Schizosaccharomyces pombe: one gene and its partner. Changing the gene in region 1 together with any one later gene gives a genetic interaction. Each region holds a gene or a part of one and is shown on either strand. Other genes may lie near its edges.

Evidence for each region. Genes that interact genetically often act in the same process or in processes that back each other up.
Region 2: mutations in mud1 (region 1) and nab3 together harm fitness more than expected from each alone (negative genetic interaction), as found in Schizosaccharomyces pombe (one large-scale study listed by BioGRID).

What each region holds. Positions count from the first base shown.
Region 1 is NC_003424.3:1,136,945-1,140,702, forward strand, and holds mud1 (UBA domain protein Mud1), read left to right. Parts: upstream 1-2,173; 5' UTR 2,174-2,185; coding exon 2,186-2,389; exon of another isoform or gene 2,390-2,503; coding exon 2,504-3,298; 3' UTR 3,299-3,381; downstream 3,382-3,758. Other genes in the region: dolichyl-phosphate-glucose--glycolipid alpha-glucosyltransferase Alg10, read right to left, coding at 1-787; protein ema19, read left to right, coding at 1,622-2,173; rRNA methyltransferase Rrp8, read left to right, coding at 3,677-3,758. UniProt on the Schizosaccharomyces pombe protein: Recognizes and binds polyubiquitin chains. Acts as a linker between the 19S proteasome and polyubiquitinated proteins via UBA domain interactions with ubiquitin for their subsequent degradation. Aspartic protease.
Region 2 is NC_003424.3:605,493-609,250, reverse strand, and holds the start of nab3 (poly(A)-binding protein Nab3), read left to right. Parts: upstream 1-2,039; 5' UTR 2,040-2,401; coding exon 2,402-3,758. Other genes in the region: spo20 (sec14 cytosolic factor family, phospholipid-intermembrane transfer protein Spo20/Sec14), read right to left, coding at 1-52, 101-259.

The DNA of each region.
Region 1 (3,758 bases):
GAAAGTAATTTATTTGAGATAAATGAATGCTTGCTTGATGATGAGATTTGTCGCCTAAGACAATACTGCCATTCCAAAGCAAAAATGCAAGGAAGGAACAAAATACTGCACCATAGGATAGAATTGGGCACGAAAATCTTCTTAAATTTTTAAGAAAAACCCCTAAGAATGAAATTATAGTAAGAAGAACATCAGCAAAAGTTGCTTCAGCTAAGTGGGGATTGAAGAAAGACATATTGCTAGCAAAATATGTAACTGCAATAAAGACCATCCAAACGATATTTGTCTGTCGAAACCATAGAGAAAAAAAACAAGACACAGAGCTTGAAAAAGCAGACTTTCGGAGAGCAAAGTCATAAGCAAGAAGGACGAAAAAAGTACTACCAATATCAGTGTAGTATAAAAATGAGAAAAACCATAAAGGAGGTAATGACGATAACGTATAAGCGAAATAGGTAACAACATCTCCTTTCCTATTATTCAAAAGAGAAACGATATCGTTTATAAGCCATGGCAGTCCAATTACGCCTACAAGCCAGTTTATTAACCTCAGAGATACATTGCTGCAGCCTATAAATGGGCTGAGTGCGACTGAAACCAAGTATAAACCAGGAGGTGTAGTAATCGCCGGATCCCAATCCCAATCTTTTCTACAAAAGCGTTGAGCTTGTGCAATATGGAATATTTCATCCAAGTAAGGATTAGGAACATAGTATTGTATAGCTAGAAGACCTGTAAAAGCTAGAAAAATCCATAGTATTAGAATTATAGCTTTTCCAAGAAACATTGTCTGTGTTTTGGGTCTTTAATGAAAGTTTATAATAAACGAATAAAGAAAATCAGGTTTTGATAAAGGGCGCACCTTTTACAAACAGCTTTTTATGTTCGCTTGTTTTAGACCCTATAACACAATTTCCAAAACAAACGATCAACTTTTCGAAAGGTGTGAATTAAATTTCGCTGAGGTTGTTGGCAGGAAGTTTGGAATTCAAATGCTTACAATATAGCAAGAGTGGGAGAACAATGTTTTTACATCAAATTAATTGAATTTCATGATTTTATTATTAGTTATCTAGAGAAAGATAGCATTCTAAAAACCATTCAACATTATGCACACTTAAGTACGAAATGTGACGAGTCTGTTTTTTATATTTAGGCTGCTAATTGCATCATTTTTTTTTAAAAGAACTGATAACATTGAATTTCATTTAAATTTTAATACTTGATAAATTTCATAGTAATGTGGTCTAACATTATCATGTACATGAAGGCAATTAAGCGGTAATACTAACTAATTAATGAAATCTGCCTGAGGCTTTTTAACTTAATATTGGCACACAAAATTACTCGATATACTGATTACCACCAATATGAAACTAAACAATCGTCTTCCTATTGCTTGTAAGTGTAACATCTAACGTATTGTTTTTATAAAACTATTTAGACGTAGTGCTCTAAAACAAACACGATAATACATTATTAAGTAACGTATATAGAATACGCAGAGAAGCAGTTGTTATTAAAAATACTAATAACTTTCAATGTCACCGTTTAAAATTGTAAAATTGTTTTCTATAGCAATTCAAAATCTCTGAATGAGGAATATCAATGTTTTGGGTTCATGAAAGTGGTTTCATTACGCCGCATTTATAGTAGTGAGATATACAAATTGCCAACCACACGCCTTCACATGGATACCTTGTATTACTATTATTTCGTAAGCCATCTAGCTGCAGCATTATTTGTTGATTTACCTATAACTGAATGGCTTGGAGGCTCTTTAAGCTGTCTTTCTGGTTTGCGACGCTTTTATTTATCTACATATGAAGACCCTATTCTTTTAATCCCTGCGCCTTGGAAAACTGCATTGTTTTCTTCAGAACTTTTCTTTCAAGTTCCTTTTTTTATTTGGGTTTCTCTACGCTTACGAAAGAAAGCGAGGGATCCAGTTTTATGGGTTGCAATTCTCATATACGGGGTGCATGCTTTTACTACGACATGGTGCTGCATGTTCGAGTTATTTGCTGAAAAAAAATGGATGATAATGAGTTTTTATTTTCCTTATTTGGCCATTCCTTTATGGATGGCAATTGATATGGGTGGCCGATTAGTCAAGTCGTGTCATGCTGCCAAATCAGGTCCTTCCTCTACCATAACCTCAAAGAGTGATTAAGAAAACACAAAAATGAATAATTTAACACCAGAAAATATTCGTCAAACGATTTTAGCAACTCCTTTTCTATTAAATCGAATACGCACAGAGTTTCCTCAACTAGCTGCTGTCCTTAATGATCCCAATGCGTTTGCTACTACATGGCAGTCCATTAATGCTTCTCAATTATTGCAGATTCCTTCTTCTACATATTCGATGGGAATGCCTTCATTTTCTGTACGTTTAATTTCGCATAATAGCGCCCGTATAAACTGCTGAGTCCAATAATTTAGTTTTAATGGACACAATAAATAAAGGGCTTTCGAAGGTGATTTACTAACATTTTTGTAGGAAGATGACCTCTTTGATGTTGAAGTCCAACGACGTATTGAAGAGCAGATTCGTCAAAATGCCGTGACCGAGAATATGCAATCGGCAATAGAAAACCATCCTGAAGTGTTTGGTCAAGTTTATATGCTTTTTGTAAACGTTGAGATTAACGGTCATAAGGTGAAAGCATTTGTGGATTCTGGTGCTCAAGCTACCATTTTGTCTGCTGATTGCGCTGAAAAGTGCGGTCTTACCAGGCTTCTTGACACTAGATTTCAAGGTGTCGCTAAGGGCGTAGGAATGGCTAAAATATTAGGTTGTGTTCACAGTGCACCTTTAAAGATTGGCGATTTATATCTTCCATGTCGATTTACTGTTATTGAAGGTCGGGATGTTGATATGCTACTTGGTCTTGATATGTTACGCCGTTATCAAGCTTGTATAGATTTAGAAAATAACGTTCTTCGGATTCATGGAAAAGAAATTCCTTTTCTTGGAGAATCTGAAATTCCAAAATTGCTGGCTAATGTGGAGCCATCTGCAAATGCACACGGTTTAGGTATTGAACCTGCAAGTAAGGCGAGCGCTTCTTCACCTAATCCACAAAGTGGCACTCGTCTTGGTACCAAAGAAAGCGTAGCACCCAACAATGAGGGATCTTCCAATCCCCCTTCCTTGGTAAATCCTCCCACTGACCCCGGTTTGAACTCCAAAATTGCACAGCTAGTCAGTATGGGATTTGATCCATTAGAGGCTGCGCAGGCGTTAGACGCTGCGAATGGAGATTTAGATGTAGCTGCTTCTTTTCTCCTTTAACGACTTAATTCGATTTCGGGGAGATTGGATATACATAATCAATGATTTTAGTCATGATAAAAATTAGGGAAATGATTATTTTCAAGATCGGTCCTGTTCTACTATTGTAGACGAATTCTTTCAAATTAATGTGTTTTATATCATTTTTTATGTGTTTTGTATCAGAAAGTAAAAATTCTATATATATGCGTAATTGCTTAATCAAACTGAGTTTTATATTTCAAGATTAGTTTTTTCAAGTATTTGTTATTTTAATTTTACGTTCACAAAAAATGAATGTTATTTATTTTAATACTTAGAAACTTTTATGGTTTCATTGGTTTGACGTACGTAGGATGAAGTTTTCTTACAACCAAATTTAATCTTATTCCCTACTTCATGTTTAAAGTAGATTGGGACTTAGGTCCAGTAAGTAAAAGCGCATCAGACCAAACGAAAGAATCTAGAAAAGAAAAAAAAA
Region 2 (3,758 bases), 530 kb from region 1:
ACATTTCCAGCGACTGTTGCAAATTAAATTTACGGGCTCTCAAAAAACGCAACTAAGAATCCATTAGTACAAACACAAAGTTTCCTGCTGTACAACTTACTAAAGTGGCATCGTCTAATCTTTCCGTGTATCCAAGTTTTTGTAACTCTAAACGCATGCTATCTAGCGTAGCTTGCTGTGTAGAATTCAAATGCCCTGGGTGCCCTAATGGAGCATTTGGATTAGTTAGAGGATAAGGATCCGATATAGTTTCTGACATCTTTTTGTTTAGACGATGGTTGTAGAGAGAAGACCTAATGACCCAGTCTGTACAAGATGTATAAAGGAAAAGGAAGAACGTCAGCGACCTTAATACTAGTGGTCATCAGCCGTGGGGGATCAGTCAAGCGTGGGGGCCTTTTACCTACTACCGCAGGAACCTTTGTTGCCATGCTACACCCAACGCTATTGTTATATGTGAGTATGAGGATAAACTTCAGTGTTAAAAATCAGATGAGAGGAAGAAGCTCCTCGTATGAGGTTTAAATTGTGTATAACCAATTTTTCAACTTGCATGAAAAGTGCGACAAATTTGAGATGCAGAATGGCCTTCAACGAGGCGTTGAAGGTAAATAAAACATGGGGAAAAAGTGACAATTTAACTTTGTGGAAGCATTTTTTCTTTACCAAAAAAAACGAACGATAGATAATGTTTATTTTATTTAAGCCTTTGAGTGCGCTTGTGGTGATTTTCTGTCATCAATATTTATGCACCTGACAGCTTTGAAAGAGTAAACCAGGCACTAAGAAGCGTTATAGTACATAGAGTATAGAATATGTAAATGGATGATCATATTGCGATTTTGAGATTGTTGTCTATGTAAAAACGGTATAGGAGTATCGTAGCTGGATATTTATGTGAAGTAAAACAGTTCAATTTTATGATTGTTCAGTTTTCGTATTATAAATGAGGAGTAGAAAATTGTCATAGAGTTGTGATTAAAAAAGAACTTTAAATAAGCAAATATAGTAAAGGAAAAGAAATTTTATTGCAAATGGAAAAATATTTCGTGAATAAGCAATTTAACAAAAAATACATATTGAAACGTAAATAAAGTAATACTATACGACATAAAAAATAAAATAAAATAAAATCTAAAGAATGAATAAAATAAATAATAATTAGACTAACAGCCACTTAAATATATATACAAAATTTTTTTAAAAACTAGTTTTGTCTCGCAAACGTAATTATTGTTTCCTTCTCTTTCGATCGAACTTCAGCCATAATTTTGAAAGCGTTTCTTCCACGCAAAGTTTAACAAAACATACAAGAGTGAAAGGCATTGCTTGAATGGACAGTCCATTTTGTACTTGCATAAAATTTTCAAGTTAGTATCAAATTTTCTACATGTTAGCAATAATACATTTATTTACATTGATTTTACCTTTAAAGACCTATAACAATATAAATTTTTGATTATTATATTAACGTTACGGAAGGATAGTATAATCGTCAAAATATCGTTATAATTTAACAAACGAATAAATGCAGGAAACAATGCATTACGCAAGCTTGTTACTAAAGGCAGGAAGCATAGTTTGAATATAGGATGAAAACCGTGGATATCAATGTTATAAGCATTTAACATTGAATAAGTATGGTAGAGGTGAAAAGAATCAGTACTACGTTTCTTAATTGGCAACCTTGCACCTCAAACCCAGCTGAAGTGTACTTTGCACACGAGTCTATTACTACATGGTTTTTTTATACATATTAAATAATAGCAATGGTTATTTGAACTGCAATAACGGTAACCCTACCCCGATATCTCCAAGTTTGAAAATTTACTGCTTTTATGAAAATTTAGTTTACAGTTTGTTTTGGAAACGATTATGCTATCAGTGCAGAAGCTGAAAAAAAGAAAATTTCGGGATAGTAAAATTGTTTTCATGTCATTTCCCTGGCGGTGGTTTTGAAAAGCCCGAAGTTCCATTCATTTGAGTGGCAACTTAATTTTTCATCTATTTAAAGGATGCAATTTTAGTACCACTCCGCCGTATCTTCTACCTAAGACATAAAGTTGTGAAGAAGAAAAAAAAATAAAGGTAGTTGGAAGAAAACCATCTGCATAAATTTCCTTTTAATCGCCAACTCTTTACACATTTGGTTGAGTGTGAAATTTTTACTTTTTCTGTTTCACCCTCTAGTTATTTCCATTCATTGCACCTTGTGTAAATATTTTATTTAAAAATTGGACCAGTTTATCAAATGCATAAAATTTAGTACTTTAATCTTTTAAAGCTAATTTTGTTTTTGTTACTCTGTCCTCTTAATTCTCCTTCATATTCCCTGTTAATAATAATAAATTAAAAAAATTTGATGTTTTATTTTGGTTTTACTTTTCAAGTCAATCAATAAATGTCATCCTCGTCTAAAGATTCTTCGTTCCAAGTGGAAACTCCTGTGCAGAATATTTTAGAAACCAGTACAAACTCCGAGCTTCAAGACCAGGTATCATCTCCATATGAACCAGACTACAACTCACCTGTCAAACAGGCTGCTGCTTCGATAAGTGCTTTACAAACACAAGACGACACTTTATTCAACAACGTTGATGAACGTACATTAGAAAATAAGGATGGGAATAAGTCAGATGATGCAAACTTTGATCAAGTATCCGGTATTCCTTCTGGAAGTTTGGAGATACCAATATTAAACTCAGCTACTAGCAACATTCGGTTAACTCCTTCAGATACTTATAATAATATTCCAGTTTCGGACACCAACAATGAGGAAATTTCTAAAAACATATATGGAGCTCCAATTTTAGAGTCAACTTCTTCCGACTTTCAAAGTAAGGATTCACTTTCCACTACTCAACCAAGTGTTTCGGGGGGAAACGGATCTACCTCTCAAAGTCCTCCTTCACTCGACGTTGAGCAAAATAAGCCTTTTTCGATATCCAATGAACCAGTGGAACAAGAAACTGAAAACTCTTCTACTAAAGATTTACAAGTATACGATTTTCAGACCGCTTCAGAGCATTTACCTGAACAATCCTTACAAAACACCACTTATTATGATCCGTCAAAAACTTATAGCTCGGTGAATTTTGAAGAAATTGAATATGGAAAGTCTCATGAGAAATTAGATTTACCTTATAGAACTACTGATTTTATTCCCTATTCTAAAGACTTGTCAACTAGTCCTGAGGCTCACAGGACTAGTATTTATTCGTATAGTGCTAATTTGCCCAATTATTATAATGAGCATAATGAATTACATGAACATCATAATCCCCAGACACCCAGTTCCCCGGAATCTGCGTATAGTCCTGAAAATTTGCAACTTAATCATGAAGCACAAAATGTTGAATATTTGGGTAACAATGCTGCCGAGAAATCGTTGCAAATGAACTTAGAGGATGAACAAAGATTTCAACAATTTTTGAAAGATGAAGAAAGTATAATGTCAAACTGGTATCCAGGGCAATTTCCTTCAGCTTCTCGCTTATTTTTGGGTCATCTAAATACAAAGAGCTTATCTAAACGAAATTTGTGGAAAGTTTTTAAAATTTATGGGCCTTTAGCACAGATAGTTTTAAAAGCAAATTATGGTTTCGTTCAGTTTTTTACAAACGAAGATTGTGCTAGGGCTTTAAATGCGGAACAAGGCAATTTTGTTCGGGGTCAAAAGCTGCATTTGGAAATTTCTAAAATTCAGAAGAAATATCAAAATCAAATAGAAAACATGAAGAAAGGATCACATGTTACCA